Linked DNA regions of Pelodiscus sinensis. The main gene of each other region encodes a partner of the protein of the gene in region 4 in a complex. Links are inferred from orthologs where the notes say so. Each region holds a gene or a part of one and is shown on either strand. Other genes may lie near its edges. The genes, in order: LAMTOR4, LAMTOR2, LAMTOR1 and FNIP1.

Region 1 (6,594 bases), on a different chromosome or scaffold from region 4:
CTGGGAAAGCATTGCCAACTCCACTCCTGACCATGGGAAGGAAGGGTAGGTCCTGGCTGTGCCCCCCCCTGCTGTGGGGACTCATTGGATCCAGGCCTCCTGTGCACTTTAGTTACATGTTTTTGTTATTTATTTTTCTCTAAAGCAGCTGCAATTTGGGTCTGAATAAATTACATGAGATGGAACCAGCCTTGCTCTGTGTGTGCACTGGGGGTGGGGGGCATGATGGGTAGAGACCCTCTGTGAGACTGGCAGTCACCCTCCCCCAGCCAGGGCCAGTGTTGGAGCAGGAAGAGTGCTCACTGTTGCAGCTCCCCACCCCAGCCCTTCCTAAGAGGTTGTGTAGAGTGGTGCTGCCAGAGCTGCTCACTGAGCATCACCCCCAGGAGTTGCCCAGGAGGGAGGGGGGGGAGGGGCAGGGGAGAAGAGGAGAGAGCTGAGGCCCATGGGGAATCATGAAGGGGTACAACCCCCCCCCCCCGGAAGCAAACCCCCCCCCAACAGTTAGGAAAGACACTTTATTCCCCCACAGTTACAGCATGGCATGTGCCTGCCCTCCCTCCTCCTTCAGGGGGAAAGGCTCCCCCTTGCCACACCCTTACAGGTCAGGCTCTGAAGTGGGACTCCCCTTCCATATGTCCCAGCTGCACTTCACTGTATTCCCTGCTCCCCCTCCCTCCCACTGATTCAGACAGCAACCGGCTCCCGTCCATGGTTCTGCCGCTTCACCACAAAGATCTTCTGGCCAGAGACAGTCACCAGGAAGGAGTGTTCCCCAAACACCACTGTGGGGAGAGAGGGGAAGACAGTATAAGACCACCACCCCCCAAGGGGGAAGGATAGGGCTAGAGTACCCTGGTGAGGGGGGTTACAAACCCAGTGTATGCCCCAGTTTTCCCCCTGCACAAGTCTGGCTGCTGGGAGAATGGGGGGGGGGGGGGGAGAAGAGAAGAGATACACAATGAGATGGTTTGCACAGCAGGCTCAGACCCCTGGGGCATGGTGTCACCTACTGAGCCCAGGTCCCAAGACTTGGGCACCCAGGGCCTAGGTGCAAACCCCAGGCTGGGTGGAGCCAAATGCAGTGGGTCATAGAAGCAGGCTGAAGGCCAGTGGATGCCATGCTGCCCCCCCAAAGGAGGAACACCCCTTGGGGGCTCAAGGAGGGGGTGGCAGTGACAGCAACTTAGGGAGGGAAAAGGCATTACAAGGGCATGGAGTAGAGTCCTTCCCTGGTGCTCCATGATGTGGGCACTGAGGGTGTGAGCTGCATACCATCTCGAGGGGGATAGGCCCCAACAACCGCCAAGCCCCCTTGCTCCCCAGCAGCTCTGTCCCCACTCAAGGTCAGTCACATTCCCTTACACTCCCTTCCCACACTCACCAGAGAGGCGTTTAAAGGGGGGGTCAGGGCTGCGCTGTAGCCGGAACCCGCAGGCTGTGCCCACCAGCTCCGAGATCGCTCCCGCCATGTGCTCAGCGTTCTCTAGCTCACCAGCTGACTGCAGGGCCAGGAAAGGGAACAAGGGTTAGGGGCGTGCCCCCCTAAACTCCCTTGCTCTGGCCCACCAACCCCCACTCCCCTCTCAGAGCCAGGTGAGAACCCAGGAGTCCTGGCTCCGCAGCCCTAACTCACCTAGCCCATCCCCCTCCCAGGCTTCCGGGTCCCCATCTCACCGCTAGCACGGCACCATCGCAGATCACCAGGTAGCCCAGCTGGTCAGGGATCCGCTCCAGCCCCTGGGTCAGCGCCGTCGTCTAGGGGAAGAGGTCAGGGTCAGAAGCACAGGGGGGGGGGGGTGTAGCTCCCCTGGGCACTGAGGGGCTGTGGGTGACCACAGGACCAGTCAATCCTTCCCGTAGGGGCCAACCCGGAGGTGATGGAGCAGATACCACCCCCCGCTCAGTGCCAGTCCGTGTGCATGGGGTGAGGTGTCCGGCCCGCTCAGTGCCACAGCGGGGGGGGGGGGGGTGTCCGGCCCCCGGGGAATCCTCCCCCCCCCCGGTCAGTGCCACAGCGGGGGGGGGGGTGTCCGGCCCCCGGGGAATCCTCCCCCCCGGTCAGTGCCACAGCGGGGGGGGGGGGTGTCAGGCCCCCGGGGAATCCTCCCCCGGTCAGTGCCACAGCGGGGGGGGGGTGTCCAGCCCCCGGGGAATCCTCCCCCCCCCCGGTCAGTGCCACAGCGGGGGGGGGTGTCCAGCCCCCGGGGAATCCTCCCCCCCCGTCAGTGCCACAGCGGGGGGGGGGGGGTGTCCAGCCCCCGGGGAATCCTCTCCCCCCCCCCCCGTCAGTGCCACAGCGGGGGGGGGTGTCCAGCCCCCGGGGAATCCTCCCCCCCCCCGGTCAGTGCCACAGCGCGGGGGGGGGGTGTCCAGCCCCCGGGGAATCCTCCCCCCCGGTCAGTGCCACAGCGGGGGGGGGGGGGTGTCCGGCCCCCGGGGAACGCGCGGCGCGGCGGGAATCCCCCACTCACCATCTCGAGTTAGGCGCTGCCGCAAGCGTTACAATCAGTTGATCATCAGCCCCGCCCCCTGTTATCCCCTTCCTTCCACCGCATTGGCTGAAAGCGCTGCCAGTCAGCTGCCGTCCCGCGCTGCCATTGGCGCAGAGGCGACGCCCCGTCCCCACCAGTTAGCACTGCCATTGGCCCGCCAGCCTCTGAGTTCCGGGCTATGGCCTAGACCCCGCTGCTGCATATTCCATGAGTACATGAATATTCATGAGGTGGAACCCTAAAGCTCAAGACAGGTGCTGCCCGCCGGCCCAGGCCCGTATTAACCCCCCCCCCCCCCGGGCCCGCCCTCCCCAGCAGCCGGAGGGGCGCGGCGGGCAGGTTGGTGCTCCCGTGCGTGGGGGGCCTCCCGGAGGCTGCTTCTGCCTGTCAGGCCTTAGTCAACCCCGTGGCCCTCCTAGCACCCGCAGTGCAGGGCACCCGGAGGACTTCGCTCTCTTGCTGGGTATCAGGCTTTTATGGGCTCCCCAGGGCGCCATTTATGGGGAGCAAGGGGCAGTAGCGCCCCCAGCCCCTGGATTTCATACTTGAGGTCTGCTTGGGGTTGCCAGGTGGCTGGTTTTCCACCCGCAGTCCGGTATTTGCGCCCTCTCGCCGGTAGAAAAATTCAGAAAATACCAGACGGGTGCAATGTCCCATATTTTCTGAATTTCCAGCTGGGCACAGGACAGAAGCCTGGCGGAGGCAGAGGAGCAACTGGGAGGCGGGGCCGCGATTGGCACTGGGAGCCCCGTGGTCACATGCAAAAGCTGGGTGGGGGTGGGGCTGGGGGCAGGAGCTGGGACTCCCAGCCACTCCCCCCTGCCCAGCTTCTCCATACAATCAGGCTGTGTCTAGACTGCATCCCTTTTCCATAAAAGGGATGCAAATTAGACACATTGCAATTGCAAATGAAGCGGGGATTTAAATCCCCCCCCCCCCCCGGCTTCATTTTGCAGAAACATGGCTACCGCTTTTTTCCAGCTCAGAGCATTACCGGAAAAAAGCGCCAGTCTAGACGTGGTTCTTTCGGAAAATAAAGCCTTTTCTGAAAGATCCCTTATTCTTCCCCCCTTCCTCCTGGCCAGCTTCGCAGCCCTCAATGTGCCCCCCCCTAGCCCTGCCTCTCGCTCCTCTTCCTCCCAGCCAGCACTGCTCCCCTCCCAGCCAGTCCCTCCCCCCCACCCACAATCAAAGTATTTTGGGAGGGGTCTACCTGGTAACCCTACGTCTGCTTAAAGCCCAAGCCCTGACTCCAGAGGCAGCCCTTAAACAGTTTGAGCTGCTTGCAGCTTTGCCTTTGGGGCAGGGAGTTTGTTATAAACAGAGGCAGGTGATTAAGAGTAACAAAGGCCTGGGCAGTCCAGTAACTGAAGGATTGTTAGATCACCATGAAAACATTGCTGGGTTTTCACTTAAAAGATGGGCAGGGAGCTGAGTTGGGGAGTAGGAATGAGTGTTGTGCTGCTAGGATCTGCATTTGGATCACTGCTGTTAAACTTCTCATAAATGTTCTTGAAAAAGGGGTGAACAGGGACTAATCCAAAGCTGACTGCAAAGAGTTACAAAGGGATCTCACAAAACTGGGTGATTGGGTAGCACGTAGTCAGATAGAATTCACTGTTGATAAGTGCAAAGCAATGCCCATGGGACAATATAATCCTAACTATATGCACAAAAATGATGGCGTCTAAAATAGCTGTTACCACTCAAGAAATAGATCTTGGAATTCTTGTGGACAGTTCCTTGAAAACATCTGCTCAGTGTACACTGGCAGTCGAAAAACTAAAAAGCTAGCAGAATACTGGGAATCATTAGGAAAGGAATAGATCAGTGTTTCTCAACCAGTGGTACGAGTACTGAATATTTTAAATAGAAAGGTGGGATTAAAATATTTAAATTAATTAATTAATTAATTAATTAATTAAATACCCTTAGGGGTACGTGAGAGAAGTCTGGGGAAGGATGGGGGTACATCAAGACAACTAATATTTGGAGAAAACTGAATTTTTGTTTTGTTTTACAGTGCTTTATTATTTTTGTACTTTTTACATCCAAAAATTTCATCGCTTGCCCAGCTACGATTAAGTTGTTTAAACAAATGTGTTGCAATGATAGAACATTTTTGTGTGTGTCTGCAGGGCCGGACTGAGGCCTTTTGGTGCCCGGGGCCCGGGCGCGCGGTGCCGCCCCCAAGCACAAGGCGCATGCGCGGGCCTGCCCGTGGAGCACATGCCCGCCCTCCCCCCCCCCGGGGCGCACGGCATATGCGCACGCTGGCCCCGGCTGCTGGCACGCAGCCCAGGGCGCTCGGTGCATGTGCTGCCCAGCCTGGCTTGGTTAGTGCTGCTGGCGCGCGCGCCGGGCCATGCAGGGCCCTGCAGCCATCGGGGGATGGGCGCTGCTGACCGGCACCGTGGGGATGCGGGCGGGCCAGCGCTGCAGGAGCCGCGCGCCCCTTACAGCTGCCATCAGGCGCCCCTCGTTGGTTGGTGCCCTGGGCAGCTGCTGTGCTCACCCATGCCTCCGTCTGGCCCCGTGTGTCTGAAAACTTTAAGTACTGGGTGGTACTTTATTAAAAAAGGCTGAGAAACACTGGAGTAGATAAGACAAAATACCAGATCGCCTCTATGTAAAGTCATGGTATGCCCACATCTTAAATACTGTATGCAGATCTGGTAAAAAAAACCCAATGGGATTTGGAAAAGGTATAGAAAGGAAACAGAAATGATTAGGGGTAAGGAACAGCTTCTGTATGAGCAGAGATTAACAAGACTGGGAATTTTCTGCTTGAAAAAGAAATGACTGAAGGATGGGGGGAATATGTTAGAGATCTAGAAAATCATGAGTGGTATGGAAAAATAGACTCAGGAAATAATATTCATTCCTTCACTAACATAACACAAGAGGCTGACCAACTAAATTTATAGGCAGCAGATTTCAAACAAACAAAGGAGGCACAGCGGATCATTTGAGGATTGCCTCTTCTGTTCACGCTTTCTGAAGCACCTGGCCTGACCACTGTTGGAAGACAAGACAGGGGGCTAGAAGGACTATTGGTTTGACTCAGTGTGGCCATGCTGATGTTCTTATATATTTCAGCTCTACATATCTCCCCCTTGCTCTAACTCCCTAGACCCCACTCCCCTTCCTGAGCTGAGACAGATCCCTGGAGTCCTGACCGTGTCTGTCTCTCCACAGAATCAGTAACAAAATAAGAACGTACATTAAAATTATAATGCTAACCAGTGTCCCTTACATGACTTGCCACAAGATGTCAGAATGTGCTAGTATTAGAACTGAGTGGGTCTAATATTTATTTTTCTTTCTGTTAGATAGGAATTAGATACAGTGCTCCTGCTAAATTGTCTGCCAAAAAAAAAGTAGAGTTTTCCAGTGCCTTAGTAGCCCGTGGATAGAGACGTGTACGTGGGGGAGGCCAAATGGGGTTCCCTCCCACATTTGGTGCTTGGCTTGTATTCAGCAGCTGTGTCTAGACTGCATCCCTTTTCCATAAAGGGAATGCAAATTAGACATATCGCGATTGCAAATGAAGCGGGGATTTAAATCTCCCCTGCTTCATTAGCATAAAAATGGCTGCCGCTTTTTTCCGGCTCGGAACTTTGCCGGAAAAGAGTGCCAGTCTAGACGCGGATCTTTCGGAAAAGGCTTTATTTTCCGAAAGATCCGCGTCTAGACTGGCGCTCTTTTCCGGCAAAGCTACAAGCCGGAAAAAAGTGACAGCCATTTTTATGCTAATGAAGCGGGGGAGATTTAAATCCCTGCTTCATTTGCAATTGCGATATGTCTAATTTGCATCCCTTTTATAGAAAAGGGATGCAGTCTAGACACAGCCAGCATGTTCAGTAACGGCTGAAGCCTATGTCCTCAGTCCACCCCTCATGCACTCACTCTTTCCACCACCCCCATCATGCTGTGCACAGGTCTCCCCCCCTCCAAATCTGAAATAGCATCCCTGCCCATTGCCCCAGCAGTCAGTGCTTCCTTGGTGCTGCCAGAGCAGCAGATTTGGGAAGGGGGGTGTGCACAGGGAAGACATCACTTGCCCACTGGCTGATAAGCCTTTATTAACCTCCCTGTC
Region 2 (7,344 bases), on a different chromosome or scaffold from region 4:
AGGCAATTAGTTATATTGGCCCATTGTGCCTGTGCTCCACCAATACTCAGGAACATGGGCCCAACTCCAGCAACATTTGGGCTGATATTTTGAGAGCCATCCTGTCCATAGGACAGACTGGGACAACTGCCCTCTGCTCTGGAGGGCCCTGTGCTTCTGGGGGATGCACAGACCAGGGCTGCCTGGTGGGCTTATCAGGGGGGCCTGGTACTAGCAGCATTTCCACCCCACCATGCCCCCACTCCACCTTTTCATTCAACCCCCACCCCACTCCTCTTTCCAGCTTCTGTCTCTCCCCTGAGCAATGCCAGGAGCCAGCAAAGTGGGCCAGAGCAGGGAGAGGTCACTTGTTGTTGCCAGTGCCAGGCCCCCCACTAATCCTTCAGGCCACCCTGGACCCCCAAAGCACAGGGCCTGGGATAGTTGCCTCTGGTCCTGATCTTGGGCCCATTCTGAGCACCACTGAAAATTACATCTAGCCCAGTATCCTGTCTTCTGAAAAGGGTTAATGCCAGGTGCCCCAGAGGGAATGAACAGAACAGGGAATCATTAAGTGATCCAGCCCATGTCACTCATTCCCAGCCTCTGATAAACAAAATCCCTGCCTATCCTGGCTAATAGCCAATGATGGACCTACCCTCCATTAATTTATCTAGCTCTTTTTTAAACCCTGTTATAGTCATGGCCTTCACAACATCCTCTAATGAGGAGTTCCACAGGTTGACTGTGCATTTTGTGAAGAAATACTTCCTGTTTGTTTTAAACCTGCTGTCTGTTAATTTCATTTGGTGACCTCTAGTTATTTTGTTATGGGAATGAGTAAACAGCACTTCCTTATTTACTTTCCCCTCAACAGTCATGATTTTATAGACCTCTATCATATTCCCCCTTAGATGTCTCTTTCACAAGCTGAAAAGTCCCACTTTTATTAACCTCTCCTCATTTGGAAGCCATTCCATATCACCAATTCATAGGATACTAGAACTGGAAGAGACCTCAGAAGGTCATCAAGTCCTACACACATGGCTGGACCAAGTATCATCTCATCCCAGATAGATGTTTGTGTTATCTGCTCTTAAAAATCTCTAATGATGGAGATTCCACAACCCCCCTCGGCAATTTATTCCAGTGTTTAACCACCTTGACAGTTAGGAATTTCTTCCTAATGTCCAACCTGAACCTTCTATGCCATTGCTTCTTGTCCTATCATCAAAGGTTAAGGAGAATAATTTTTCTCCTTTCCCTTCTAACAACCCTTTAGGCACTTGAAAGCTGTTATGTTCCCTCTCAGTCTTCTCTTTTCCTGAATAAACAAACCCAGTTCTTTCAGTCTTCCCTCATGGATCATGTTTTTTAGGTATTTAATCATTTTTGTTGTCATATCCACAACATGGAACAAGGTTCTATGACAGCTGAGGATGGAGTGTCAGGATCAAAGGGTTTCATGGGGATAGAATGTGGAGTCAGAGTGTTCTGTAGTAGCTGGTGTTGGAATATTAGGATCAAAAGATTCCGTGGCAATTAGGCTGGGACAGATTGGAAGGGACAGTTCTGAGTGATAGTTGGGAATGGGCATCTGGAGTGAGAAAGAAAGATAGGAATGAAGTGTGGGGAAAACCCTGTCTACACTGAATACAACATCCGTATTCAGAGCTGTGCTAGTAGTTAATTATGGCCAGGGCTCAACAAATAATACAATCTACTTGCCCTTGGTGAGTAGATTGCAACCCGGAAGAGCCAGGTTCGGGTGATCTGCACATGCGCAGATTTCCGGACAGCACGGCTGGCGAGTGGGACTCGCCGTGGTTCGGTGAGCCCTGATTATGGCTATCCAGTCTGTTGTGGATAATGCCTGGGGATATCAGCAGCTGATATAATGTTAGGTTTCAGAGTCATGTTAGTCTGTTTTAGCAAAAACAAAGAGTCCAGTGGCACTTTAAAAACTAACAGATTTATTAGTGTATTAGATTGTATGCTTTCCTGAGTTACAATTCACTTCCTCAGATTCTGAAGAAAGAAAGAAAGAAAAAAAGAAAGAAGCATAAGGAAGATTTATTATTAATTATGTATAATAATAATATTCAAGATCCACCCTGTATGTTTTCTGAGATAGCAACAAAAAGACACCAGAAAAATACACCACTACCTATTAGGCACTGTCTACCACAGCAAAATTAGTGCTCATATTTCAATAACTACAACAAGGGGGCAGTTGGTGCGTGGCTGGTAAAGACAAGGCCTAGTCAGTTCTTCTAATGTGTGTATCAATCTAAGGTCTTTATATGGCCCATTGGCCACCATTATTTTAGTATCTGAGTCCCCTCCAACCTATAGAATATTATCCTGAAAGTAACCCCATGTGAGGCAGTGCTGTGCAGATGCCCCCAGTTTTTACATACAGGGATTGGAGGCATAGGCAGATTAAATGATTTACCCAAGGTCACACAGGAAATCTATGGCAGAGCAGGGAATCCTCAAGTCCCAGTCTAATTAGTGATAAAGTCTGTTGGAAGGAGGGTTCGAAGGCTCCTCCCACACTCCCCCAGGAATGAGCTGTTGCAAAAGAACTATAAAAAGCACTGGAGAGTGCTTGCTAATCTCTGATAGGCAACTAGTCTCTTAATGTAAGTAGCTGTGTGTGAAAGTAACTTAGTTATTTGATTCTTGACCTTTTTTAGGGGTTATCTGTGCTACAAATGTAATTATTGTGGGGCTACAATGTTGTTAAAGCAGCACTTGGGTGAGGGTAATTCTTCTCCCCCAATATTCTTCAACCCCCCTTCTCCGCCAATATTCTTCAGCACTGTCAGTTGGGGGCAGACTTTGGCAAAATGGCTTGGTTTTGCTGGGATACTTAGCTAAACTTAATTAAGTTTAAAATTCTTTGGAGGGGGGACTACAGAGTCTATCTTGCTTCACAATTAGGCCTTTGATGTGTTACTGTAATATGTGTATACCTGGGTCCAGCCCAATGGAGCCTTTTTTTTTTTTTTTTTTTTTTTTTAAACAAATCAGGAGTCCCTATTTGGGGATGAAATGGGATGTATGCTCCTAGAACTCTGAAGGAGGACAACTGCATTTTCATTGTCCTCCTGAACAATGTTCCTTCTCTCTTCCATCCATGTGTGTAGCTTTTTTGTTTTAAGGACAGTGGACAGTCATACATGCCTCAGTGCACATTAAAAAAATTGCTATCTGTGAGTGCTCTGCTAATCAGCTGAGTGATGTTTGAATCTCCCCTGAGTGGCTGTGCAAGTGCCCAGCTTTCAGGGAACACCTGTGGTCATGGTGGTGGAGTGCAAGAAATGTGGCCTTCAGTAACATACTGCATTAGCTTTGCTTCCTAGACTGATAGCTGTCCCTGCATAGATACAGAATTCTCTGTCCTTAAAAGGTACACAGGGCTAAGAAGAAAAAAGTTTCCCAGTTCACTCACGCACCTGCCTATGCTTTTCTTCTACTGCCCCCACAGGGATTGGGGGTACCTGGGGTAGTAGAGAATTTTATAAACAGATGGGACCAGCAATAGGGAAAATGACACTGATAGGGCTGCAGTGTCATCCCTGCCCAAATTATCAAACTCCTGGGTCAGGTCTGCCAGAAGCCATGAGATTGGCTTAAAAATGACAAGATCTTCCAAAAATAACATGTATTTGCTTTTTTTTCCTGAGTCTTTAGATGTCATGCTTATCAGTTTTTCCTCTACAACTGCAATGTCCCCAGACAGTAGGTTGGTGGTTTTGTTTTGAATCACCAGCCTCCTCATATTTGGTGTCTGATTTCCAGCATGAACACCTGAAGTCCTATAGAAGTCAGATAGATATGGAGCTGATGGGTTTTTTGCGGGGGAAAAAAATCTTGTAAATGTGACCTACATATTCCTAAAGGCTCGAAATCCAGCAAGCAAATAAAAAGAACACAAAATTGTTCTAGGGGGCTGACCCGTGGGTCTCTTTCTATCTCTTCCCTTTCTACATGCTTGGCATTTGCAACATGGCAATCGTGAAGTTTAGAAACTTTGTTTTCATGAAAGCTGAGGTTCAACTGACTCCAGCAGCTGGGGATGTTAAAAAGACCCAAAATGTGTGAGTTGTCTGTAGCTTGTATGAAGGTAAATGGTATGTTTCCTGTGGTGTGATTACAGGAGATCACAGTAGTTGTGTGAACTGCTAAGGACTGGGGTCGTTTGGTGTGTAGCACCAGCGGTATGCTAGTCACCCACAAAGAGAAATTGCCCTGCAATCTGTGTGCATGAAATGCCCTGTCTATGCAACAGAACTGGAAAAGAACTACAACTCCCAGCCTGCTGTGGGCTGAAGTCGCCCTGCACGGGTTGATCAGCTGATGGGGAAGCAGGCTCTCTGAGCTGTGTGTGTTTCCACCACTGCAGGGAGGAAAAAGGATCTGTTGCTACCATGCTGCGCCCGAAGGCCCTAACCCAGGTCTTGAGCCAAGCCAACACTGGAGGGGTCCAGAGCACCCTGTGAGTATAAAGGGAGTGGTGGGGGAGAGGAGTGGGCATGGCTGGGTATGGATCAGGGAACCCTGTCCCTGAAGTATTGTGACCAGATCAGTGGTCCCATTAAGGATTAGTGCCCCCTCCTCCAAAGGGTCTTCCCCTCTCCCTACATCTCCCACTTCATGCCCCGGTAGGAACAGAGACATCTTGGTGGCCCCCCACCCAGCTTCAGTTGTGTTGTACAATTCCTTTTCTGAAAAGTGGGGAGGAAGAAGCAGCCCAGTGCACCCTAATAAGGAGTAGTCCCTCCTCAGAGGCATTAGATGTGGATGGGGGGGGGGGGGGGTCAGCATTCCCTGTAAGCTGAGTGCTTGCCTTGGACAGTCACCTAGGAGAGATTCAAATGCTGCCCAGCTGATTAGCAGAACACTTGCAGTGCCCACAGCCAGTAACCTATTTCTGCTGGTGGTGCACATTTGCACATAAATTTTATTTTCCATATGGGTGGAAAAAATTAGAGGGCACATTGATAGGGGTAAAAGGGTCTGGCCAGGACTTCCTCCAGAAGGCATTGTGGGGGACAGGGGATGGGAACTTGGAGAGCAGATTACTAATATTTTCCCTGCTGAAGCCCTGGGGAGAGGTATGTCAGTGAAGTACACTTTGGTGTTGTTGCATGCAGGTAGTCTGTTTTTCTTGCGTAGATCTTCTCTGTGCTGGGTCTGCATGTGGGTAGCCACATGAAGGCAAAGAAATGGGGGCGGGGAACAGTTGCATCTGTATCGCCTGCAAATCCACAGATCACTCTTACAAATGCAGATGTGGATACAAACGTTGAGGCTGTGCCAGGAGTTGTGCTCCCAGCACTGTAGTCTGGTTCACACTGGCACTGTGCTGTAACTTACTGCGCTCAGGGGTTGCGGGGGGGCACCCCTGAGCCAAAAAGTAAAGTGCCAGTGTAGACTTAGCCCGTGCGCACTCTCAGGCTGAGGCTGTATCCAGAGCAGTATCCACAAGACAGTAAAATAAAAAATTTGGGAGGTCCATTCCCCCACAGCCCTCTCTTCCTAGGAGCTGCTGCACCCATGGAAAAAGAGCACCCCTGCTAGAGAGGAAGGATGGTTTGGGGTGTGTAAAGTAAAGCTCTGCCACTGCCTTATCTGCCCTTGGTCTTATCACTTCGCCTTGGATACCCTCTCTAAAATGAGGGTGAGACATGCCTCAGAGGGGATGTCACGAGATTCCGTGTGTGTTCTGTCTGATCAGATACTAAGGTGATGAGCACCATAGAAACCCCTATGAGTGAAGTCCGTGCCTAAGCAGAAGTGGCACAAAACCCTGTGGGCTCTTGGCTCAAATTCTCCCCCTCTGTCCTTTGTAGACTTCTGAACAATGAGGGATCTCTACTTGCGTATTCTGGTTATGGAGACACAGATGCCAGGGTCACGGCGGCCATCGCCAGTAACATTTGGGTGGCCTATGACAAGAACGGTCACCAGGCTTTCAATGAGGACAACCTGAAATTCATCCTTATGGACTGCATGGTACGTTGTGAGGTGCAGGGATGGGGCAGGGATTCATTCCTACAGGAAAGGCTCAGTTTTTCAGCAGTAGAATGCTGCTACATGTCTCCGCTCTTATCAGTTTAACCCATAGATCCCTGAAACAGATGTGGAATTGGATCACAGGACTCCAGATGCCTGTTCTCCGCTCTTCCATGGACTGATATAGGTTAACTGCCTCTTTTCTGCCTCAGTTTCCCCATGTATAAAACGAGGATAATAGCTGCACCGTGGGGTAAGGCTGAAGTTCAGATTAAGTACTTAGATGCCATAGCAACACAAGTTATCCAAAGCCAAAACTTGAAGCAGGTTGCCATTCTTCCTTCTCCCTCGCACACATGCGGCTGAAAGATCTTATTTCAGAGCAAATGCCTTGCTCTTTAAGAATGACCTAGGCTTTCAAGTGTGATGGGACAATCTGATGGGATAATGTTGGTCAATTTGTTTGATCACCTTGTGCAGGGCAGTAAGAACATAATACCTTGCTCTGAAGCAGCATTCTATCATCAAGTCTCAGGGGTAGTTGTGTTAGTGTGTATCCACAAAAACAACAAAGAATCCATTGACACCTTAAAGACAGATTTATTTGGGCATAAGTTTTTGTGGGCAAAAACCTGCTTCGTCAGGTGCATGGAGTGGAAGTTACAGAGGCAAGCATTAACATACTGTACAATTTCCATTCCATGCACCTGACGAAGCAGGTTTTTGCCCACAAAAACTTATTCCCTTATAAATCAGTCTTAAGGTGTCACAGGAATCTATCATCAGTAGGTTTCTAAGCAATTCACAAAGGAGGGTCGTCTCCAGTCTTACAAATGGGAAAGAAATGAGGTGACTTTCCAAGGTTAGCCAGTGCCAAAACTGGAAAGAGAATCCAGGTCTCTTGAATTCCCAGCAGACTGCACCACAGTGCCTTCCCAGTGGAGATTTGGATCCCCAGTGTCTGACTGTAAGAGCAGAAGGTTAAAATGTCCGGGACATGGGGGTTCTAGAGTGGAAACCTATCCTTCAAATCCTCTTTTTTTTTTTTTTTTTTTTTCTTCTTCCCTTCTGCCGGCCTCCCCTTCTCTCCCTCTTCCACCCCTCCCCCCCCCCCCCCGCCAACTGCAGGAGGGTCGTGTTGCTATCACTCGGGTGGCGAATCTCTTGCTGTGCATGTATGCAAAAGAGACCGTTGGATTTGGGATGCTGAAAGCCAAGGTGATGCGGAGCTGCCGGATTGCATTTGGGGCGGGGGGCAGCTGTGTAGCTGCAGTTTGAAAAGTAGATTGGTGAACTCTGCATAATATGAGTGGCTCTCTAACTGATGTGGGGGATGGGTTG
Region 3 (7,151 bases), on a different chromosome or scaffold from region 4:
TGCTATTACTCTGGGCCACCCCCAAAGAGTGGGGCCCGGGGCCGTTGCTCCGGACGGCTCTGAGTTACTGCAGAGAATTCTTTCGCAGGGTGTTGGCTGGTGGGTCTTGCCCACATGCTCAGGCATGGGTGGCGGGTATAACAGGCACAGGAAGGTTAAGCGTTCCCTGCTGCCAACCTGCCCCTGATGCCTGGGCCACGTGGCCCTGCCATGTCCCTCTCCCCACCCCTCACTGTGTTCCTCCTCTTCTTGGGAGGGGGGTGAGGAGGAAGGTGGCAAGCCAGTGGGCAGCCAACCAGGGCTTCTGGCAGGGGAGTGAGGCAGCTTGGCCAGGCTCTGCCTGGTGCTGAGAAAGGGAAGTGGTTGGGGGAGGGCCCAGTGCCTTGTCCTGGCGCTTGTGGGGAGCAGCAGATTGGGCCAGCCTGGTGCGTGGGGGGCTGGTGCCTCAGAACCGGAGCTGGGACTGGACTGGCTTGGTGGGGGGTGGGGTGGGAGGTTCAGGCTGGGCAGGGAGCTAGGGCCAGAACTGGGGCAGATGGGCTGGGCCTCGTTCAGTCATGGCGGGGAGGGCGCACAGGAGCGGCAGGTATAATAGGCGGAGTAAGGCATCGTCTTCCCAAACGGCCACCGGGCCCCACCCATAACGACAACTGTAGCGCACCCGCCCTCTCCATGCTCCAGAGCCGGGGAGGCTTGGGCCATGTGCCACCCCACCTCCCTGTGGTTATCCGGGAAGGGGAGGGGATTGGCTCCCATGGGGGAGAGGCCTGAGCAGAAAGCGCGAGGCTGGGGGCTTGCCTTCCCCAGCTCGACTTTCACCCGCCGCCCATGGGACCATCGGGGTGCCTCCTGTTAAGGAGGGGGAGTTTTCACAATTCAGGTGTTTGTGTGGGGGGTGGGGGCAAAGACTGCATGCCTCACTCTGGCTGGGGAATGCAAGGGAAAGAGGAACCTGGACCTTCCCCAGCTGGGGCAGATGCACTGCTCCCCCAGGGGTGTCCATTCCAGCTGCAGTGGCCATGGAGAGGCACTTCTCATCTGGCCCCAGCTGCTCCAGTGAGAGAAGGCTGGGGTAGTCCTCTCTCCCCAGGGCAGCCTGCACACTGAACCCCTCGTCCCCAGCCCCACCCCAGAGCAATGACTCAAATGCAGCCTGGACATTTTCATGTTATTTTCCAAAAAAACCAAAAATTGTCTTAAGAACCAGAGCAACTCCGGGTAAACCTTCTAGTACTTAATAAAACCACTTTTATTATCAAGCTCGGTGTAAAGAAGTGTTACCGTGGGAAAGGGTGCATATTTCTCTTTCATTGATAAAAAGAGCGAATCTTACAGGGTGTGTCTAGACTGGTAAGATTTTGTGCAAAAACTTGCCAGCTGTCTACACTGGCCACTTGAATTTGCGCAAGAGCACTGATGATCTCATGTAAGAATTCAGTGCTTCTTGTGGAAATACTTTGATGTTCACGCTCGGGGATAAGCCCTCTTGCACAAGAATACTTTTCCGTTAAAAGTATTTCTGCAAAATCATGCCAGTCTAGTCGCAGCCCCTGACTTTCTCTGGATAAAGCTTTTACACAGAATACAATGGATTTATTTGGCATTTTGGCCCCTTTTGGCTGGGAGAAATCAGAGTTCCTGGCCCAGGAGAACAGAGTGGTGGGGCATCCCAGGCGGCAGGTAGGCAGGCTCAGAGGCATGATCAGCACACTAGGTGATAGCTCCAAGGGGAGCTTGTGATCCAACCCGTCACAGGAGCTTTTCCAGCAAAAACACCAGCCTGGTGCAATAACTTAAGTCTCTGAACTGGAGACTCATAGAATCCTAGGGCTGAAATAAATGTCAGGAAGTTGAGTCCAACTCACTGCTAAAAGCAGGACCAATCCCAAATAGATCATTCCAGCCAGGGCTTTGTCAAGCTGGGACTTCAAACCGCTAGGGATGGAGATTCCAGCACTTCCCCAGCTAACCCATCCCAGTGTTTCACCACCCATCCAGGGAAATAGTTTTTCCTAATATCCAACCTAGACCTCCCCACTGCACCTTGAGACCATTGCTCCTTGTTCTGTCATCTGCCACCACTGAGAACAGACCCTCTCCATCCTCTTTGGAACCCCCCTTCAGGTAGTTAAAGGCTACTATCAAATCTCCCCTGTTCTTCTGCAGACTAAATAAGGCCAAATCCCTCAGCCTCTCCTTGTAAGTCATGTGCTCCAACCCCCTAATCATTTTATTGTCCTCTGCTGGACTTTCTCCAATGTCCATCCTTTCTGTAATTGGAGGCCCAGAACTGGATGGAATACTGTAGATGAGGCCTCACCAGTGCTGAATAAAGGGGAATAATCACTTCTCTAGATCTGCTGGCAATGCTCTTACTAATGCAGCCCAATATGCTGTTAGTGTTCTTGGCTCCAAGGGCACACTGTTAGCTCATGTCCAGCTTCTTGGCCACGGTAATCCCCAGATCCTCTTCTGCTAAACTGCCGGTTTTCATCTGAAGAAGTGGGTTGTACCCACAAAAGCTCATGATACCATCTACATGTTTTGATAGTCTTTAAGGTGCTGCTAGACTGTTTGTTGTTTTTTTAAGTTTTTCCAGTTACAGACTAATTCGACTAACCCTCTGATGCTGGTTAACCAGTCGGTCCCCAGCCTGTAGCAGTGCTCGGGCTTCTTCTGTCCCAAGTGCACTTGACCTTGATGAATCCTCATCAGATTTCTCTTGGCCCAATCCTCCAACTTGTCTAGGTCACTCTGTCCCTGTCCGCTCCAGCATTTCAAATGCTACTTCATCACCAGGTGATTGAAATGGCCCTTACAAAAGTGCTGGGATCAGTTATTGGCTGGGAAACTCGAGCTAGGAGCGTGCTCCCCCCCCCCCCGTTGTAGGTGCAACCCACGGAGTAGGGATTAATGTAGTAGTCTCTGTTTTAAGCACAAGATCACTTTTTGAATGTAAATGCAATCCAAGATCTACCTCAAACCCAAACACCCTTGCCCCGCCTCTTTCCTGCTCCTTCTCTGAGGCCCTGCCCCTGCTCACTTGTCCTCCCTCCCACCCCTATTCTCCCTCCCTTTCACCAGGCAGGGGAAGAGGGTTGGGGTGCAGGCTCTGGTCTTGGACTAAGCGATTTGGAGTGTGAGAGGGGCTCTGAGCTGATTCTGGGGCAGGGGTTTAGGGTGCAGGAGGGAGTTCATGACTGGGGCAGGGGATCAGAGTTGGCTCCAGCTGAGCACTGCCTACCACAGGTGGCTCCTGGGTGGTGGTGGTGGTGCAGTGGGGCCTGCACCACTCTCAAAAGCAGCCAGCAAAATCCCTCCACCCCAAGCCCTATTGTGCCCCCGCTCTGCTCTGTGGAGACAGAATACAGGAGGAGAAGGGGCACCCTGATATCAGCACCCCTCCTCTCCCTTCCCTGCTCTGTACAGCAAGCAGGAGGTTCCCAGGGAGGGGGCAGCTCCAAGGCAAAGGGCAGGAGATAGGCAGCCGTGGGGGGAGGGGCAGCTGAAGTGCAGCTCTTGGCAGCCTCTTGACCAAACCCGTCAAAGGCTCCAAGATCGAGCGGTCGGTCCCGATCGACCGGGTGGTGACCCCTGGATTAATGCGTTTATTGGAGTAAACGTGCAGCTGCCCCCCCCCCCGTTGCTGTCTCTGCTGTCTCCATAGGGGCGGGGGGGGGGGGGAGGATTGTATGTTGGGGGGAGCCCGGTCACTGCGCTGGCTGCAGCCTCACAGCCCCCCCCCCCACTTTCTGCCTGTGCTGGGAGGGGCCAGACCCCGCCCCTGCATCCTGGGGGGGCAGGCCCCGTGCCGAGGTGGACATGGGGGGGGGGGGTTTCCTGGCCCCGCCCCCGGAGCAGCGGGGAAGCGGGGAGGTTCATGCACCCCCAGCCCGTGACAGCATTCCTCTGTCACGCGCCACCCTCTTCTCTGAGCGCTGATTGGCGCGCCGCCCTCACGTGGCGGGAGGCCCCTCTCTGTCTCTCTTCCGTCCCCCGCCACTTCCTTTCCTGGAAGGCGTCCCGATCACGTGACCTGCCACGCCTCGCTCGATTGGCTCGCCCTCCTCACGTGCCGTGAGGGCCCCCGCGTTCCGCGCTCGGCATTGGCGCTCCGGCTCACGTGTCCGGAAGCGGCGAACGGGAAGGGCGAATGAGCTCCCCCTCCTCCCCTCCCAGGCTTGTTTGTTGGCTGGAGGGGCGGGCGCCGCTGCTCATGTGACCGCGGCGGCAGGGCCCCAGCCGGACACCGTACCGCGTCCCTCCCCTCCCCCTCCCGGGAGACCGGCCCCGCCGCGCCCGGCCATGGGGTGCTGCTACAGCAGCGAGAACGAGGCCGCTGACCAGGTGCGGCCCGGGGCCCCCGCGGGGGGCGGAGCGGGCGGGGGGCGGGTCTGCAGGCGCCTCGGGCTCCCTGGAGACTGGTCCCGGGGGCGGGGAGACGGGAACCCGGGGGGGCACATGCGGGGAGGGGGGCTAGGCTGGGGTCGCTAGGTGGGGGAGTTGGGGGGGGGTCCCTGGGAGGGAGGGGGGCTAGGCTGGAGTCGCTAGGTGGGGGAGTTGGGGGGGGTCCCTGGGAGGGAGGGGGGCTAGGCTGGGGTCGCTAGGTGGGGGAGTTAGGTGGCCTAGGAGGGTTTATCTCGTTCTTGGGCCTTTTTCCAAACCATAATTGACAAAATACAAAGATTAAGTCCTCTTGGGCTCCTGTAGCTTCAATGCAGCTGTGTACCACAGTGTCCCTTGGGAGTTTCTGTGTTGCTGAAACCTACATCCGTGCCTTTTAGTATTGGGCTGTGGCTAGAAAGACGTCAGTAAAAAAATCTCAGAAAATGCTGGAGTGTCTCTTGCCAGAAAGATACAGGTGGCATCTGGCAGGTTGGGTGAGGGGTAGAAAAGATTCCCCCAACCCAGCAGGGACTGGGTTGATTTTGTTGCCTGTAAAGCCAAGGACCTCCAGGGTATCCTTAGGAAATGGGCCCAGCTGATTTTCAGTGAGCTCCCCACTAAGGGATGTTTGGAGGGAGAATTTGGGCAGGGATGACGGCAAATCCTTGCTATCCAACTGGGCCTCCTCACCATGCCCTTCACATTTTGGCAGGGTTATTACAATGTAGGATTTAATGGTGTGGGGTGAGAATCAATGTTCCCTCTTCAGTTTTTCCACCCACAAACGGAATAAATTTTATATGCACTGAGGCGCGTGCGGGTGTGCACTGCCAATGGAAACACGTGCTGGTGGCTGTGGGCGCTCTGCTAATCAGCCGGGCAGCATTTGAATCTCTCCTGGGTGGCTGCCCAAGTGCTCGGCTTATGAGGAACAGGGGTCAGAATGTGACACTGATTGCATGGAAACTTAGGCACTACTGTCGGCTTCAACTCAAGCAGTTCAACACATGCTAAGCTCAGCTTGTCTTGCCTACTCTGAAGTTATTGAGCATGCTCACTAAGACTTTCCATCAACAGCCCTTCTAAACCTTAGTCTAGCCACACTGCTAATGTTGGGCAAAGAGAATTAGGCCTTGTCTCCACTCAGGTTGTTAGTAAGAAGGGATCTGCGTAAAAGCCCTGCTGTGGGGGAGGAGTTGCACTATGGCAGCAAGTGGGTGAAGCCTCCCGCTGGTGTGGATACAGGGAGGTCAGGAGAACCCATCATTCTGCTTTTTGAAGCGTTCAAAACATCAGGCAGGCAGGAGTGACAGCAGTCATTTCTGAATCCCACCCTCCTGCCTCGTAGCTGTCTAGCTCTGTGCCATCCCAAATTGCCGTTCCTCTGTTCTCGGCCCAGGCTACACTATAGGCAGCTCTCCAGTGAAAGCCAAGAGGGCCTGGAGCTGCCGGCAGGAGTTCTATTAATAGCTGAACTTTTATTAAAGAGTCTTGTCCTTGGCCACAAAGTGAGCAGCTGCTCCTCAGGCTTTGTGTACTTACCCAGCTGATGCTCCCCGCTCCTGGGGCTTAAAGGGAATCTTTTGTCTTCAAGTGTTTGTTGAAACTGCTTACTTTTGGGAGGGTGCAGCAGGGTCACCATTCAGCCACATACAATTGTGGGGTTTTTCCCCAGTAGATGGCAAACCAGATCTAAAAGCAGGGACAGAAGCTTAGAAATGAGAGGAGGCTTGGCAGGTGCTTCCCATCCCACCTGCTTTGGTCCCTGCAGTGTAGTTGCTACCATCTTGGCCAGTCTAGTCTTGAAGGCTTATTTTAGGCAGGACGTGGCTAGCATGAGTTGGCCAAAAGTGACTTTTTTCCCGTAGCCAGATGTAACTAACCCGAGTTGTCTCAAGCCATGGCGTTGTCGCTTCTTCCCCTAGGACTCTAGTGTCCAGCTGACCAGATCTTGTCCTTAGGAAGTCTAAATCATCTTTCTCCATAAGCCTTACAGAAAGGGATCAGGACAGGCACTCACCCTTGGCATGATAAAAAGCCAAGGCAGCTTCATTGATTGGCTGAGCAGACGTGCCAGACAAATGAATGAGTGTTACTTCCCCTGGCAGCTTTAGTCTGGGGTTGTAACCCCAAGTCCCTTTGCGTTCCTGTCCCTCCTGGGGGTTTGCACCAGCCAAATCATTGTTTTGTGTGTATCATGTGGCACCACTGCCAACATACTCCCGGTGCTAAATTCCCGCTACGCTGCACGGCTGCCTAATAAGCCCCGGGCAGGCACTCACCAAGCTGCCGCAGGCTGGGGAGAGCCCCCCTTTCCTTGGTCCCAGCAGGGAGCTGCCACGGCCAGGAAGAGGCACCTTCTCAAAATTCTCCCCCCTGCTGTCCCCGGCAGCATGAATCTGTTATCACTGGGAGAGAGGTGCCCCTCTTCCAGCCAACCCAGCCTCACCAGAGACTCCATGGCTAGCAGAGAGGTGCCTCTTACCTGCTCCGGAGCTGCTGTGGTGGGAGAAGACTGGGGGGAGCCCTTTCTCCCCAAAGCAGCCTATACTGCAAACCCTTCCTTCCCATCCCAGATTCTGTACCCCTTGTTATCCCAACCGTCTGCCTCAGCCTTGAGCCCCCTCCTGCACCCCAAACCCCTCATCTCCAGCCCCATCCCAGAGCCCTCATCCCCCCCAACCCTGAGCCCTTTCCCACATTCTGAATCCCTTGGCCTTGCTCCCCCCCACAGATGGTTCATGTGCCGAATGAATTTTATATGC
Region 4 (7,370 bases):
TCTTTGTGGGGAAAGAAATAACTCTACTAGCAAAAGCTCTCTGTTCTGTCGATTTTTCTTGTGCAAAAGCGTGCTTGAGGTGGTTTTTGTGCAAAAACCTTATAGTGTAGACACAGCCTAAGTATTTTATATAGTATAAGAAGTTACCATTTTATCTCCTCTTAAGCTCCAGGAAGAAAATTCTATATTGAAACTACAACAGCAACCACTCCTAGTCTGTTTTTTATACCAGTTAGGCATTTCCCATGTTTTGAGTCCGGACTAAAAAAACAAAACAAAAAAACTGGAAGTGGAAAATGGCTCTTTAGTATTAGTGGGGAAAGGTTACAGGTCACAGTCAGTTGCTTGTATAATACTTTAGGGCCTAATTGTGCAGGCAGCTCTCATAGGAGCAGTCCTTGTTTGCTGAAGTCGAGGGGACTTCCCCAGGAGAAATTTAGGCCAAAATATCTCTTTGAAGGATTGTAACTGTAATTTCAGATGAATCACAGCCTATGTAAGAACTACCCTGGAATTATTTATATTATATATTTCAGTGATTAAAATAGATACATATTTGGTAGAGATTTGACTTAATTAGATATTAAGTCTTTTTGCAAATTGTATTTAAAAAGTGTAAAAGTAAATTACAGTTGGGTGCTTTTGATTTCAAGTGTTTCCAGCTTAAGGGGAAAACTACTTAATGCCGCCTGTATATTTTTGTGTGTGTATAATAGAATTGTGTACTCTTTGTGATTCCCTGATGCACGCAGTGTGTAAAAACCCAAGTCTAGTCAGAGGTCCTCTTCCTGTACACAAACTAGCAACAAGGAAGTTTCTCTCATTGCTTTCCACTACAGTTACCTTAATAGGTTATAAAAGTGCATAGTGAAAGGTAACTTCCTGTCACAATAATCTACTATATAGTTGAGAGACTTTGTCTGCTCACGAACTCATACTCATAGACTTTAAGGTCAGAAGGGACCATTATGATCATCTAGTCTGACCCCCTGCACAGTGCAGGCCACAGAATCTCGCCCACCCCTCTTAGAATAATCCTCTCACCTATGTCTCAGATATTGAAGCCTTCAAATACTTTGAAGGCCCCAACATGCAGAGAGTCCTTCAGCTGTGATCTGTGCCCAATGCTACAGAGGAAGGCGAAAAACCTCCAGGGCCTCTGCCAATCTACCCTGGAGGAAAATTCCTTCCTGACCCCAAATATGGCGATCGGCTAAACCCTGAGCATGTGGGCAAGACTCACCAGCCAGACACCCAGAAAGTTCCCTATAGCAACTCCTATCATCCCTCCATTGACCTATTTCCAACTGATAATGAATGGTCAATTAGTTACCACGATCATGTTATTTCATCCAACCATCCCCTTTATCTTAGAATCATAGAACTGGAAGAGACCTCAGAAGGTCGTCAAGTCCAGCCCCCCGCTCTAGGCAGGACCAATTCCATCTAAATCAACCCGGCCAGGGCTTTGTAAAGCCGAGACTTAAACACCTCTAGGGATGGAGACTCCACTACTTCCCTAGGTAACCCATTCCAATGCTTCACTACCCTCCTAGTAAAAATAGTTTTTCCTAATATCCAATCTGGACCTCTCCCACCACAACTTGAGACCATTGCTCCTTGTTCTGCCATCTGTCACTACTGAGAACAGCCTCTCTCCATCCTCTTTGGAACCTCCCTTCAGGAAGTTGAAGGCTGCTATCAAGTCCCCGCTCACTCTTCGCTTCTGCAGACTAAACAGACCCAAGTCCCTCAGCCTCTCCTTGTAGGTCATATGCTCCAGACCCCTAATCATTTTGGTTGCCCTCCGCTGGACCCTCTCCAATGCTTCCGCATCCTTTTTGTAGTGGGGGGCCCAACTCCTAAACAGTAAAATCAAGGACCACCAAATTCGCTATACAGCATCCTCTGATCATAACTTAAAGCAAGGTTAGGGTTTGGTTGTGCAGAAAAATAGGATGTGACTAGAATAGGATTGCTTCTCAGAAAACCATACAGAAAGGAGATAGGTGAAGGGACTAAATGAGGGCACCCCCCAATCTGGAACTGTCCCAGTCCTGAGCCTCCCATCCACCAGACACTTTAATGAGGGCAAGATGGCTGAAGCTCTCCCTTCCCAGATTTGTACAGGACATTGCTGGCTGTTCCCCTTCATCAGGGAGCAAGGGGACTGTGCACAGTTTTCTGCCCCTTACTCTGGCTGGGGAGCGCAGAGGGCAGATGAGCTGTGCACTTTGCTCTCCCTCCCTGACAGGAATAGGAAGGAGAAGAGCAAGAAGCCCTGATATGAATCTTGGAGGGAGGTGTCCCTGTGTCCCCTACTCATTCCCTTGTCCTGAGATCCTGCACTCCCTCTGCCTTGAGCCCCTCCTTAAAGACCCAAGCAATGCCAGGTAAATGTGCTAGTAATATTTTAAAAACTCATTCTGAGAGCTACTAAAGGAAATTACTTAGATTATTGAGAGTGTGTTTATCTGAATTAATCTGACAGCATGCAGTTTTACTTCACTCCATTTAGATAAACGGAAACTCATTAACCTTCATTAGTTAGCTTTTAGTTAACTTTGTACAAATGCAGAACTAGAAAACAATGCTAAAATGTGTGCATTGTAGGCACTGATGAGGAATCCTAAACTCCAAGCCAAAATTGTCCTTTAAATACATTATTTAAAGGTGCTTTCCCAAAGTATTTAATAGTTTGTGCAGAAACTTTTGGCTCCCTCTGATTCTTGTAAAACCCAATTTTAGGCTAAAGAGGGATACTTGCTTAAACTGTAATTTGTTTTCCTGCTTGTAGTAATGTTATAACTGTGTGGGTCCCAAAATATTAGAGGGGAGATGAATGAAAATCTTTTACTGGACTATTTTTTGTTGTTGGTGGTGAAAGAGAAAACAGAAGTTGGTCCAATAAAAGTTACTACCTCATCCAGCTTGTCTGTTTTCTTCCTGGTTCATTATTTTGTTGTTACCACTTTAAAGCTAGTTTGTAACATTTGGTTTGTTTATAATGTGAAGCTTCCTCTTCATGCAAATCTTCACCTTCCTTCTCTGGGTATTGTATAGTCTGAACCGCCCACGTGAGTCACTTTTGCTTTCATTCAGATACTGCACTGTGGCACAGTCTCTTAAATCTGTAACTGGCAACTCTTTATGAAGGAAAGAAAGTAAAAAGCTGGATCAGTGGGGGGGAGCCTCCTATTTTTTATACCAGAGTCTTCAATTCCCATTGTCTATATATACACACACACACACACATATTTTGGATTCAGCACCTAAATTCTGCTAAATCTGGCCAGTCTCTGGCTCTAACCACTCTAATTCTGCCATATGAAGAGAGAACAGCTGAATGCTCTTCTTACACCAAAAAACACCTGATCCCTAATGCAGCAGGATCCAGCAATGCTGGAAATAGGTCAATTTGGCACCTGGATTCTGCCAGGGTCTAGCTCTCCACAGATTCCACTGCCTAAACAGAAATCCTCTTTTGCCACTCTCGTTGCACCTGAGAACTCAGGAATTGTCCCATCAAAATAGAGAACAAGTGGCACTTCTAGCACTCGAGGAAGAAATTCTGGCCTCTAGTAAATCCTGGTAGAAGAAAGCTGTAAAGACTCACCTGCATCCCACTACATTTAGCTATTTGTGACTTCGGCCCCTCCTCCCCAGTTTTACCAATTAATGCAGTACCGTCAGATACAGTTTCTACCAGAATAATCCAGACCATACTGGAAAATGGAAATGTTTCCTAAGATGCCGAAACAATTTCTGAGTTACCAGATCAGACACTAGATCCCAGTTTTTTGCCTCCTTGCTGAGCTGGGGCCCATGAGGTTCGACTGTTGCATCTGGAGTCTATTCTCTATTTAGGCAGAGACTGTTTCCCCCCGAGGAGCAAAAATTCAGATCCGTCCGGCCGCCTGTACCCTGTCCTAGCGGTTTAAACCATTTGCTCTGAGGTGCACCGGGCCCTATGGGGGCTTTGCTGAGAGAGGGAGGTCTCTGCACACTCGTTCTGTATTTTTGTGGGCGGATCAGGGGAATCCTAGTTGGATCAAACAGGAGCTACGTGCAGGAGCAAGGCTGTTGCAATGGGATCCTGGCAGCCCCGGCGTTAGATTCGGTATCCTAGGAGAGCTTCGATTTGTTCTCCATTTAACAGTGGAATGGGAGGGGGTTGCTGCTGCGGCCAAAAAATAGCTGGATCTGTCCAGTTTTCCCCCGGCCCCACCAAAACCTAGCGGGCCTGCTTGAGCAGAAAAGCCCCCCACGTGGTGCTGGGGCCTCAGCCACTCAGCGGTGCACGGCCCCGGAGAAACCCCTCCCGGGCCCGCCTCCCTGCGATCCTCCTCTTCTGGCAGCTCCAAGTGACTAATTTTTGTCATATGACTGTGACACCAAATGGAGTCGGGTTCGCGGAACTAGCTGCCTGCCGGAGGAGTTCGCTGCTCCAGCCCCAGCGCCTCCGCTGGGTGCAGCGGGGAGAGAAGGAGGCTGGGGGGCAGCGGGGAGCAGCGCGCCCCAAAATGCCACCCACCTTGTTCCAGAAGCTCTTCAACAAGAAGCCCGGGCTGAGTTCTCCTGCCAGGGACTCCAGGGAGGAGTGTGTCTTCAGGTAACGCGGGGGGAGCCCTGGGCAGCCCTTCCCTCTCTCTCGCCCGTGCTCACAAACTTGGACCAGTTCGTTACTTTCTAGCCTGTTTGCCTGATGCAAACTACTCCTCGCCCCTGCTATGGAAGAGGCCAGAGAAGAGAGGATCGGGGGGGGGGGGTGATTTTGCGCTCTGTCTGGAGGGCTCTGGTGTGCAGGATTGGATACACTGACTGAGCTGGCCCCCTGCAATCCTCCCCTCCCCCGTTTGACACACACATTTGGTGTGTTGCCTCCTTTCCCTTCTTCCCAGCCCCTTTCCCGGGAGAGCCCTGGGAGTGGAGAGGCTTCTTGGCCTGGGTTCCTCCCGCTACACAAGAAGCTGGACGGAAATCCCTGATGCGCTTTTTGCAATGCACTGGGACGCATGCAACATTGTTTCTCCCGAGTGTTTCCTAAAGGTGCCCTCCGTCTATTCTCCTCCAACGCAACCCCTTGGGGATCCCGGCCCCCCGAGCCCTTCGCTCTGCAACAAGTCTTATTTTCATTGCCGTCCTTCTTTGTAAAAAAGTTGCAAAGCAGAAGTAGCCTCTTAGCGCTTCCCAAGATGGGTTGCTTCCTCTGATTAGGTTGTGACTCTTCCTTTTGGCGTGGGTTGGGATTTCTCGCTTCCCTTTCCCCGTCCTCCAATTCCTTTGTTAACTTTATTTTATTTTATTTTATTGCCTTTGATGTTTTGACGCACTTTTGAGGCTGCAGATTTAACAAGCCCCCTAAAAAAGACGCCATTCTTTTGACTTTCTTGAAGTGGCGAGGTGGTTGCTATCTGGAAAGAGCCACCTTAATAAATACTAAGAGGGAAGAGCAAATATGAAATGCAGGCTGCCAACAGAAGTGTAAGGTTACTCTTAAAATCTGTCATGATCTAACCACAACAAAACTGAATCCACTAAGCTTCCAAACACAAGACTGCAAGAAAAATGCTTGCACCCTCCTTACAAATGCTTCGCCACCTTTATCTCTTAACATTAAACGTTTCAATTTAAGCTGATTGTATGTGTAATTCCCTGTATTTCTAAAATGCTAACAGAATATGGTTTTTTGTTGTCTGGAGAAAGCAGATCCCTAGAGATCCAGGGACACCTGTGTGGTATAAGGACTTGAATTTGCAGTTTTTTATGAGGACTCCAGTGTAAAGTTAAAAATCAGGACCAGAACTACACTTTTGGCAGTTTGTCCCTATTGTAACTTATCAAAATTCTAAAAATAAGATTAAAGGTTGATCTAGCCAAAGGTATTTTAGGGTCTATAAAATAACAGTAGTAATGGATAGACAGAGCAATAACCATCTAGTAGATTTGTGTAGAAAAATCTGGTCTAGTTGCAAACTATTAATTTAAACCACTATCATGACTTTGTAACTGACATGTAAATAACACTTTGCATTTGTTGGTGTGAATTGCGGGGTGTGAATATTTACATTTTAAATTGACTGCTTGGAACAGCTCTCCATTTAATATTTTAAATATCTTTGTAAGTTACATTACACAATGTGATGGGTAACATGTAGACCTGAGGGCTGCCCTCTGGATCTGTACTGGATTACAGTACCATCTTTCTGTAGTTCCTGAGACCCAGTCACTGCAAACATCGGGGATGGTAAATACTAAACATACCCATTTATTCTCTCAAGAAAACCATTTTCACAGCATACTGATTGATCTTCCATGTTTTTATGAAATAACCTAGAATCCAGTGCCATAAATGTTGGAATACACCTGTAGCAAAATTGGTTTATAGCTTCCCAAACACCTCCATTTCATTTTCCAGCTGAGTAATTTATTTTATTTTACTGACATACTGGGTGGGCCAAAATTTCTTCTTTAACAGAGAGAGAGAGAGAGAGCCAATTATATTTTACCTGATTTTTATGCTGTCCAGACACTTCTTAATGATAAACTTCTACTGAGGATTTAGTGTACAACTCAACAGCTGTGTTCCATACACTAGGGATATTTAGGATTGTGTGTTGTAAGGAAGAAAATATTACTATATCATCTTCTGAGGTCTTCCTCCTCCCCTTTCTTTAATACAGAACACTGTGTGCCAGGACAGGATGCATATATTTAAAATTACCTCCCTGCTAGTACATTTAAGATATTTTTATATGATGAATCTGTTAGTGGACATATTCAGATTAAGTTTTATAATTTCAATATAAATGTAAATGGGGAAACATACTATGAAATGTTAATAAAAAGTGTCTTTCTAACGTTCTGTTACTATTATATTTTGCTAAACTGAATTTTCCAGTGTTAAAATTCTGAAAAATTGGTCTTTGTTAAGCGCTGTGCTAAAAATCAATGAAAAGCATAATAGTTATATTCTTATAAAAGAAAGTGAAAGTACATCCAATCCTTGGATAATGCACAGGATTCCTTTAAAGCTATAAGGTTATGAAACAGGTATTTTACTTTAAGATCTTGCCTGAATTCCAAATATTGTATGAAAGTAGAATCAGACTCATACTTCATGAAAAAGAATACAATTTCGCATATGATCTGGATAGCCCACTAGTTGCTGGTGAGCACTTAAATCTCCAGTGCATCCTCAAAATATTTGTTGTGTCTTGGTGAGAAGTTCAGATGGGGGCCGAGGATGGTCATGTGGTTAAAATACTAGCTTCTCTTTATAAGACCTAAATATTATTTTGTCACAGGCTTCCTTTATGCAAGTTGCATAATTTCTCTCTGCCTTAGTTTCTCTATCTATAAAATGGAGA

The links.
Region 1: FNIP1 (region 4) and LAMTOR4 share a complex: the UniProt entries of both Homo sapiens proteins name them as parts of the lysosomal folliculin complex. The link is inferred for Pelodiscus sinensis from reciprocal best matches to the Homo sapiens genes FNIP1 and LAMTOR4.
Region 2: FNIP1 (region 4) and LAMTOR2 share a complex: the UniProt entries of both Homo sapiens proteins name them as parts of the lysosomal folliculin complex. The link is inferred for Pelodiscus sinensis from reciprocal best matches to the Homo sapiens genes FNIP1 and LAMTOR2.
Region 3: FNIP1 (region 4) and LAMTOR1 share a complex: the UniProt entries of both Homo sapiens proteins name them as parts of the lysosomal folliculin complex. The link is inferred for Pelodiscus sinensis from reciprocal best matches to the Homo sapiens genes FNIP1 and LAMTOR1.

What each region holds. Positions count from the first base shown.
Region 1 is NC_134734.1:7,555,314-7,561,907, forward strand, and holds LAMTOR4 (ragulator complex protein LAMTOR4), read right to left. Parts: upstream 2,606-6,594; 5' UTR 2,478-2,605; coding exon 2,475-2,477; intron 1,759-2,474; coding exon 1,678-1,758; intron 1,503-1,677; coding exon 1,385-1,502; intron 786-1,384; coding exon 688-785; 3' UTR 505-687; downstream 1-504. UniProt on the Homo sapiens protein: As part of the Ragulator complex it is involved in amino acid sensing and activation of mTORC1, a signaling complex promoting cell growth in response to growth factors, energy levels, and amino acids.
Region 2 is NC_134734.1:16,810,732-16,818,075, reverse strand, and holds the start of LAMTOR2 (ragulator complex protein LAMTOR2), read left to right. Parts: upstream 1-4,323; 5' UTR 4,324-4,415; coding exon 4,416-4,483; intron 4,484-5,840; coding exon 5,841-6,003; intron 6,004-7,131; coding exon 7,132-7,221; intron 7,222-7,344. UniProt on the Homo sapiens protein: As part of the Ragulator complex it is involved in amino acid sensing and activation of mTORC1, a signaling complex promoting cell growth in response to growth factors, energy levels, and amino acids.
Region 3 is NC_134711.1:325,258,543-325,265,693, forward strand, and holds the start of LAMTOR1 (ragulator complex protein LAMTOR1), read left to right. Parts: upstream 1-4,141; 5' UTR 4,142-4,305; coding exon 4,306-4,347; intron 4,348-7,151. UniProt on the Homo sapiens protein: Key component of the Ragulator complex, a multiprotein complex involved in amino acid sensing and activation of mTORC1, a signaling complex promoting cell growth in response to growth factors, energy levels, and amino acids.
Region 4 is NC_134727.1:26,104,944-26,112,313, forward strand, and holds the start of FNIP1 (folliculin-interacting protein 1), read left to right. Parts: upstream 1-4,360; 5' UTR 4,361-4,382; coding exon 4,383-4,612; intron 4,613-7,370. UniProt on the Homo sapiens protein: Binding partner of the GTPase-activating protein FLCN: involved in the cellular response to amino acid availability by regulating the non-canonical mTORC1 signaling cascade controlling the MiT/TFE factors TFEB and TFE3.